Neodiprion lecontei: one gene and its partner. The protein of the gene in region 2 interacts with the protein of the main gene of each other region in a pairwise test. Links are inferred from orthologs where the notes say so. Each region holds a gene or a part of one and is shown on either strand. Other genes may lie near its edges.

What was found.
Region 1: the proteins of amyloid-beta-like protein (region 2) and fasciclin-2 interact in binary tests that used the Drosophila melanogaster proteins (3 or more experiments, as listed by UniProt). The link is inferred for Neodiprion lecontei from reciprocal best matches to the Drosophila melanogaster genes Appl and Fas2.

What each region holds. Positions count from the first base shown.
Region 1 is NC_060265.1:16,849,069-16,853,751, forward strand, and holds the start of fasciclin-2, read left to right. Parts: upstream 1-1,641; 5' UTR 1,642-1,939; coding exon 1,940-1,994; intron 1,995-3,636; exon of another isoform or gene 3,637-4,195; intron 4,196-4,683.
Region 2 is NC_060265.1:27,176,720-27,181,388, reverse strand, and holds the start of amyloid-beta-like protein, read left to right. Parts: upstream 1-1,617; 5' UTR 1,618-1,843; coding exon 1,844-1,900; intron 1,901-4,669. UniProt on the Drosophila melanogaster protein: During development, plays a role in the regulation of the neddylation pathway. Appl and APP-BP1 interact antagonistically during development.

The DNA of each region.
Region 1 (4,683 bases), about 10 Mb from region 2:
TAATATCCTCGACGTTTGATTTCGTTGCGTATACATCAGCTTCGTTCACACGACAATCAGTTAATTTCACATGAACATCCCTGCGTCGTTTCAAACCTTCGCACAATTCCATTTCAATTTTCTGTCTCTCCTCGACTTTTGAATGAGCTTCCGTTTCTGCCTTTGTGCGGTGCGGTGTGTGTTTGATTTCATGTTTTCGTGTTAAAAGCACAAAAAAAGTTGAAAACTGTCTACGATAAAAACGATAAAAACGATAAAACAACGTTTCAAAACCTGTCTTGCGACGTATGCTAGTTTACTCATATTGCAAGCACGATACTTACCGCAATGTTGATAATTCGTTTTTATAATAATTACATGCTGTACATGAAAACAAGGAAACAGAGAGTTGGAAAAGAATGAAAATCGTCAAATTCAACCAGTTATTCGAATATCATGTGGCAAACATTAGTGTAGAATAGCTTACACGTGAATCAGCCTGGGTTAAGAAATGTCTCATGATGGCTTAAAAATGGTGATTAATTTATACCTGCTCATATACATTTCTTACAGTTTCCTTCTGGCAGGTAGATTATTGTTCTGAGAAATATTCGTGATAGAAGATTTCCGTGTTACTTGTAAACGAAGAATTAGTACTTGAGTTTAGTACTTACAAAAAGCCAGAAAGAATGGCATCACCTTTATCACCATTTCTCATAAAGGTTTTTATCCCTTTGTTTTAAATGAAAAACTCTGAAGTATAAAATTATGTGCACTTTCGAGATTTCTTTGCATTTTTTGTATATTACCTATTATTATTTCCTAATATTAATCGAAACGCGTTGCAAGTTTTTGTAAAGTATAAGTATATCAATGCTTGATATACTTTTTTCTGACAATGAGAATAATTGTATAGAGAAATCTATGACTGGAAAGAGTTTTAATGCATTACTAGAAATTGACAAAACTGAGTGTTCAATCGTTTTCCTGTAATTCGATTCAATATCACATATTATTATTGATAAATTTTCTTATTGTTAGCAATAATTTTTGTCCTTTTTTGTTTCAACTTTCGAAATTTTACAGTCAATACCCACACAAAAATGTAAAAACTTTCTTTTGTAGTCTTTCTTAGAAATTTGACTGCAAGAAAATGCATTCCGAGTGTGATTTATTAGCTGAAGACCGAACTGCCCGAACATTTCCTAAAATTTGAACAATACTTAAGTTCATGGTGCCGAAACCAACCAACGAAATATTTTCTTGAGGGCTGGCGTCGGACGAACCGAACCTTCCCACCTTATCCTGATGCGGCTAATTTCAAGGATAAACCAATTAGGCAGGTGTTCAGGGCGAAGAGTCGTAGCGAAGAATGAAGGCACCTCAGGTTTCAGGATCTACGGTAACGAATGTAACAAGGCTGCAGGTCAACGCGTACGGTGCTGTAACAATTAAAGCGCTGGATGCGATGGGCGCGGCCGACGTGACGGCCCGAGGTTCGCGAGTCGCTAGAAATGCGTAGCGAGGCCGCGCGAGAACACCGAGAAGTTGGCCGTTTGTCTTCGGTCTTCGGCTGTACCTGCGACGCCGCTTGCCGAGGCTTGCCGAGCGCGGCCGAATTCGCCCGAACGGGTCGGATCAAACGAGCGCGGCACTCCCCGCCACAGTATGAAATCGTCCACCGTACAGCGACGACGCGTTGAAGTCGATTTGCGGGCGTGATTAGAGAGCTCGGGAGAAAGATAGACGCAGTCGGAGAGACGTCCGAGCCTTGACCGCGTGTGTCAGAGTGAATAACCGATTATTCGGGGCCGATTTTCACTAGCGATAAGAGACGCTCCCGAAATACGCATCGAAAACGTTACGACGGCGGTTGTTATAAATAAATTTGAATCTCCGGACGAAGGACCGAGAGGAAGAGAACGGCGACCGCTCGCTGACCGGTTTTAAACTCCGGACAATGGCGGCTCACGGGAGACAGGTGGCTGCTCTTTTGCTGTTGCTGCAACTTACATGTGAGTGTGACTTTTTGTTGTTTTTGGTAAAATTCGTATCAACGCTGACGCTAATCGCGATCGTATCTCAGTGCGTGTCGCAACCGTTCTCAAGCAGGTGTCCGAAGTGAACCACGGGCGCGAGTTTCGAAAACCGTCGGACGGTTGCGTTGCACCGCGGTGCAATTGTTGTTGATGGAGTTTTTTTTTTTTTTTTAACGGTTCCATCGGCGTTGGATTTACGAGGCTGAAGTTTGTAACGTTAAGACAACTGAAGAAGTTGAATTTGCGAAATCTGAGTTTGTGATGCTGTATTTGGTAACAGTTTACTAAATTTCCGGTAATCCTAAAGTTGTAAAATAACCATTTTCTCTAAAGATGCATCATCACAACAAGCTCGTTACAAACTTCGGCTTAATTCGGGTTTTTCAATTTTCTGGGTCATTCCTTTGTTTACACACACCTTCTAGCCAATGTGTCGTTTACCCGTGATCGAGTTCCGCCAAAGTCAGACCGTCAGACTTTGTATATCGCAACTATTTATAATCCCAGACGTTGCGGTCTGTCTGCAAACGCCTGATGGTTACCTCGCGGGTCAGTCGAATCTTACTTTGATTATATGTTCTAGCCGCGGGATCAGACAAGTTGCGACGGCGACATTCGCGCTTTCATAGCAGATAAACTTCTCACGAACCGACAAAAAATACATACCATCTACCCATAACATTCCTAGACTATTTATCCAAACGCAATTTGGCAGGCTTTATAGCTCGCCCACTCAGCTTCAAGTTTACCAACACCCGGAGACTCAATCGCTTCACGATTTTTCGTTGATGCATTTATTTTAAGCAGTAGAGAACATAGCTTTTTAGCACTGCTTTCAGTGATCGTACGGTTGAGTTTTTTTCTTCATCGGCAACACTCGAACGTTTGCCTTTACTATTTTTCATTGACTACCTTATCAGATTTTATAGTAGGCTCGATAATACGGCACAAACACCGGTACGTTATAGTACAGTTGAATAATTATGAATATTTCAAGTCACGAGGGGCGAATCCATAAATTGTGTAATTTCGAGCTTTGGAAAATGTGAAATCGTCAAACAAAAGCGAGGTTATTAAAAGGGTGCCCTGGTCGATTTCGACTGCATATGTTCCCAAATATCGATGCCCACGTATCTCGAACGAAAAACAGGGCTCAATAGTCTCATTCTATTCACAATTCTATACAAAAACACTGAAATCCATTTTTCGGTGCATGAATTCTACGAACTTACTGTTACGGTTCGTAGAATCCGTGCAATTTCTTTATTTCAGCCTGAAATGAAAATGCATCGGAGTTCTCTTGTTCAAAATTGTGTATAGAATGGGACTGTTGAGCCCTTTTTTCGTTAGAGATACCTGGACGTCGATACTTGGAGCTACGTATATACGTTGGCGTCGAAATCGACAAGGACATCCCCTTAAACGGGAAAAATCTTTTCACTTGTTCTCAGGTGAGAATCCGGTTTGTTCTCGGCTCCGAATTATCTACCTGCAGCAAGGTCTAATTGTAAGAGTGCGAGTCCTTTGGACTTCAAACGAATCCTAAGAGCAGGGTAGAGAAAAATTTACCGTGAAATTTACCTGAGAGCATTACATCGAAGATGAGTATAATGCTTACCTGCGCTCAAGCTCTCTTTGTTCTCTCTGGCTGCTCTCTTCGGGTCCTGGCGCCTTGAAAGTCGCGTCGCGACGGTTACACCGGGCCCTCCGATCTCTGTCCTTGGTATTGCGGTTGTTTATTCTTTGGTCCGGTCCCGGCGGCGACCGTTTATATAATTCGCCATGGACTAAACGGCTACGGAAATTTCCGAAGCTCGGTGAAATTCTCCCAATCGCATTCCGCCACTTCGGCCATATTCCTTCTTGTCGGTTTTCTTCCCATTTTCACACCATGCGAAAGACTCGACACCGACGCGCTGTAAGCGGCGGTTACGTGCGCGCGACCGTTGTAAAATACCGTTGACCGACCGTTTCACTTTCAATTCTGTTTGAAGGTGCGTACAGTCGGTTGAGGAAGTCGACGATCGTCTTATTGCGTTTCTAATTCTTGTTTCTCCCGCGTTAAATTCGGTAACATTTTAATTTTAGAAAGAAAAGTTGTATTCAAACGCTAACGATTTATCAGGCTGAAGTTTGTAACGTTATTGTAACGACGCGTCTTTGGAAAAAGTCGTTGTTTTGAAACTTTAGGATTACTTGACATCTGATAAACTGCTGGTACAGCATCAACAAACTCAGATTTTGTAAAATAAACTTCTTTAGGTATTCTAAAGGTGCAAAATAGTGTTTTTTGTTTCAACATTTCGGTACATTAACGTTAATAACTTCGTTCTCGTAACGGTTTTGCGCATTGGCCTGTGCGGTGCGTAAAGTATGGCGAGAAAACCGAGACGACAGAATTACGATTATCTACTCATCAAATCGTTCTCAAATTTATACTGAAATTCATTTTTTTTTTTCGTCGTTATAGTTGAAAAATTTATTTTGAGCGCAGTTGAAAGTGAAAAAATCAGGATTATAATAACAATTGATCGATTTTCTTTCATTTACAATCGAACAGTACGACCTTGAAACAGTTGGTAGGAGAAAGGCATCAGATACAAGCTGATTTTCATATTATTTGAAAAAAATCTACGATCACTCATTCAATCCTTACAGACACGAT
Region 2 (4,669 bases):
ACGGGGTAGATTCTTATACCGCATAGCTGAGGGTTGAAATCGATACAGTTTCCATGGTAACGCGGCTACTCGCTGGGCGGCCGACGCTCAGGCCAAGGCTACTCCACTCGTGCGTTTTCATACTGTTGGTCTGAAAGATGGTCTTTTTTTTGCACAAGATTAAAGTAAAAGAAATAAAAAAAACACTAAAAAAAAAAGAAAATCGAAACAATGAAAATTAAAAAACGCTCGTATAACTTTGTCATGGCGGGAAAAAAATTGCGCGCAAAAATTACAGTGACCTCGTTAGCCGCATATTCGTATGCTTCGGACATCTTTTTAATGATCTGCATGTACGTACATGTATGTATGTGCATACACATGCAGATCTCTTTTAATATTCACGTTCAAGGTTGCATAGTTATGTCGCTTATCATTCGGCATAACTATTTCGGATCATACTGTACTTATGATTTGCAAGCCAATAGTTTACACATCGCACTTGATCGGGTTGAATTACATTTCATCGTTTATCGATAGTTTTGTTTTTTCTTTAACTGTTCAAAATTCTCCGAGTCAATATAAGTATAATTTGCGTATCCTTGTTATTGATATAATTATATTAGTATGGGACATTCGGATATTCCACAGCATTATTGCGAAAATACATAATACATACATGTATTTGTGCGTAGATAACTTGTATAAGCTAAACGATCTGAAATCATCCCGAGAGGTTTACTATAATTGCTTTCAATTCGTTGGAGCGTGGCCATTACGCAAGAAACTTGATTGTGTACCGCGGTATGCTCCGCATAATGGTATAATAATTCCCAGTGTCCCTCGAACGCTGAAGGGTATAATCCATCACATCAGCAGCGGGGTATAGAAATGGCAATCAGCCGATTGATAATTTGCCTTTGCGTTTTGCGTCGCTACCGAACGGCGCAAAAAAGAAAAAAATGATGCAGAACTGAACCAAATTGGATGTGTTTTGTTAGCCAAATTTTGAAGAAAAAAAAAGAAAATAAATAAGTAAAAGACTCATGTGATCGGTAAGTATTAAAAAATCCGTCAACGAGCAGCTTTTTCCAATTTCCTTTCCGAAAGTTGGAAAACAAAACACAACCATTAATATCAGACAAAACATCGTCCGCTGGAACGTTGCTAAGTCGTCAAACCGTTGCTGGTTATTTGTATATGCATACAATAAACATTGGTAAACGGATCGAGTCATATTGAAGTTGGTAACGTTACCGCAACGATTCATCCTGAAGAAAAAAACCGTCATTTCACGATTTTGGTAACTGCCTGAAATCCGGCAAACCGTAATAAAACAAAACACACTCATATTTTGACGTCCTAGTCCCTTAAAAATCATTGTGAAATTAAAAATGAGTGATTATTTTCCCAATTCTTCGTTACGATCACGTTACCAACTTTAACCTCGTCACCTCGAATTACAGCAGCGTCGTCTACGGTTCACGCAAGCCGTTCTCCAGCCGGATGCGAATCGCGGTTCGCAAGGCAAAAATTTGAAAGACCAGTTTTCCCGCGCCGTATCGACTCGCCGGCAACTTCAGGCCCCTCGCCCCGCGGTACCGAGTCCGCCATCTTGATTCTACACTGTCGGCGACGACGGCGACGCTTCGCGACCCACCCAGTGCTGCGGTAAACGGGCGATTGAACCCTGCTGCACACGAATTACTGGCTCCCGGAGCAGTCGCGTCAAAAGACGGTTTTCGTGCGGGTAGTAAGGACAGGAGAGAGAATATAAGTTGGGAAAAAAGGGCAGGAGAGTAAACGGATAATAGAAGTCAACCGAACTCGTGATAAAACTGTGCCGCTGCGGAACAATTTCGAGATGACAGGGCTATTGATGCCTGTTTTTATCGGGGTGTTTCTCGCCTTTCGAACCGAGGTGAGTTTATTCGTTATGCCTACATTATACTCCTGCACTGTACGCACGTCACTGTCTTACAATTCCGTAGTATACGATAGCTCTGTCAACTTCTTCATCGTCAACGAATTAAAATGCATCTTCGATCCATGTTATACATCCTCTATATACACCTTATTATACACATATTATATTGATCTCGCGACTGCTTCATTTGTCGCCGCTTGCACTACGTTACAATAAATACTTTTAAAAAAAATCGCTAATTCGATCCGTTCTGTGGCAGGTTTCGTTCTCGCCACTTTTCCGTCGATACAAGCTGACAATAATATTTCTCTCGTAGAGATAAATTTCCCCGTTTCTCGCATTCTCCTCCTGAGTCCGCGATTCGCGGGTTCCTCGTTGATCGTTGCGTTAAATGCGACCGCGATTTACTCGCGTGTGTTGTCGTTAGATAGGAAATATTGTGCGGTTAAACTTCGCCTTCGTCGTTGTGCTAAATATTGATCGGGGTTTTATTCACCCCCGCAATTCTTTCGCTTTGCGTATAAACAATCGACTGTGCACTCGATCGTTTGCACACGTTTCTACGAGCGGCGCCTGTGTGCAGGCGTTGTGAAAAAAAAGACAATCTACTCTCGCCGTACGTGCGGAGTGATTTCGCAAAGCTCGCACGGCGGCTCCTCTATAATACATCAACGTCCCGACACCTGAACGTCCTTTTCATCAAACTGACGTAAAATCAATTATTCGTACAATCGGGCCCTGCAGTGACTCGAGTCGCGGGTATTATACATGGACCGTACATATTTACAGGCATGTATAATCAATCCGAAAACCCGACACGCACACCCGCCGAAATAACTTCGAGTTATAACTTGTAACGTCAATTTTCGTGCGATTCAACGTCAGCCGCGGCTGCTCGTTACAATCTGTGTATTTTACACACATATGCACAACGACGAATCGCTTCCATATCGATCCTGATAATACGGCGTACGATCGAGCCTTTAATATTGCCAGGATTCGTGTTCGTTATGCAAACTTGTCGGTGAAAAAAGCGGGCAGCATTTCCACGCTAACTACCTAGTCACGTTTTCGAAACAACCTGCGCCGGCTTATTTACGAGTAGTTGAATCATCAACAGCAGTTTCACGTCGTCCGCAATAACTTTGTACGATAAACTTGTACTTTTTCAAATTTTATCGCTTACAAATTACAATTCGTCGGTTTCTATTCCCCCGAAATTTCCAGAGGTTGTTAACGTTCGTTACCTTATTACAATGAAACAATGGGTAATTTTAATAACAACTCGTCGATCCACAGCTCCAGCCATAATCCAGCTTACATAATAATATATTTTTCCACAGTCAACTTCTTCAAAGTTATTCCAAAGTCGGAGAATAGTGATTTTTCCTGCAGAGTTTCATCGCGTATCGTAACGCGACTAACGATTCAGTCACCCGAAGTTTCATACGTTCAGTTATTGAAATTATACGAGGCTCTGCAGCATCGACAACGAACAGCTAGCAAAAATATTCTGCAAGAATAGCAGCGCGTCGCTTTGGGAATTGGCTATTTTGCACGTCGTTGGAGAATAAAACCGAGCAAGCACTTCTATAATTTTTACTCGGCAAATTTTTTCTACCATAATTTTACAATCGTCCCAAATGCAATATTATCAATCGTTTTCCAAACGGTCGCGCACCTTGTTTCGACCGACCGTATCGCAGGTGTGTTCACATGCATCCGAGGGATGCGGATGGGACAGGAAGATTTGAAACGGGTAGAAAGGACGCGGAGATAGGGTCCTAGATCCTGTTGCAGCTCGGGCTACCGAAATTGTCTTTTCTTTCATTCTAGCGGGAGTTTCTTCGCTTTGTAAATATGTATAATAATACCACCGAAAAACCCGCGCCGCCTCTAATTTGCGCGTTTAATACTTGAGAATTTTAAGCAGCAGGAAAATAGCGGTTTATATTCATCTTATACTCGGCTAAAATACGAAATTTATGTACAGGCAGGTATATACCGATACGTACCTTTTAAAGCAAATAATAATAAGAATAATAATTGAAAAAGTTTTTAACCTTGATAGAAGTAAAGTGTCTCTTTGAAATGGTAATATAAAGTTTTGTATCATCTCGTTCATCGATTATACGAGTATACGTGTATACGTGACATATAATCCAACCAAATTGGTTCAATTTAACCGGGCCGGGGTTGTATCGCTTTGTAGTTTATATAATATGTAATACCTATAATATGTATGTATACGTAAGCTTTCGTAGCGGCGTATGAAAATCAATTCAATATTGTGAATTGATTGGTACGCGGGTATAAAGTCTACACAATGTGTGTTGTATGTATTGTAGTTGAATTACAGAGCAGACGAGGTTTATAATATATTATTCTCTATTGCGGGTTATTCTTCATTTCATTTGAACAAATTACTCAGGTATTATATTTATATGTAACTTTAACCGTTGGCCATAACTTATTTATCCGCAAATTATTTACTTAATCGACGATTTATAGATTCGCCGTAACGATCAATAATTAATAAATAACAATCGATGGATGAAATTAAATTTCAATGAAGATATGCATCGATTTGATGCCAGACTAACAGACGTAACCGCGTGGAACCATTTCAAATTTCTATCAATGATGCTTCAAATCTACTCTCCGAACTTGGGTTTGAATAATTATGCGATTTTCGTCTTACAGTTTATACGCCATCGAGTACGCACGTTTAAATCCATACCTAGACAAAATACGATCCATTCG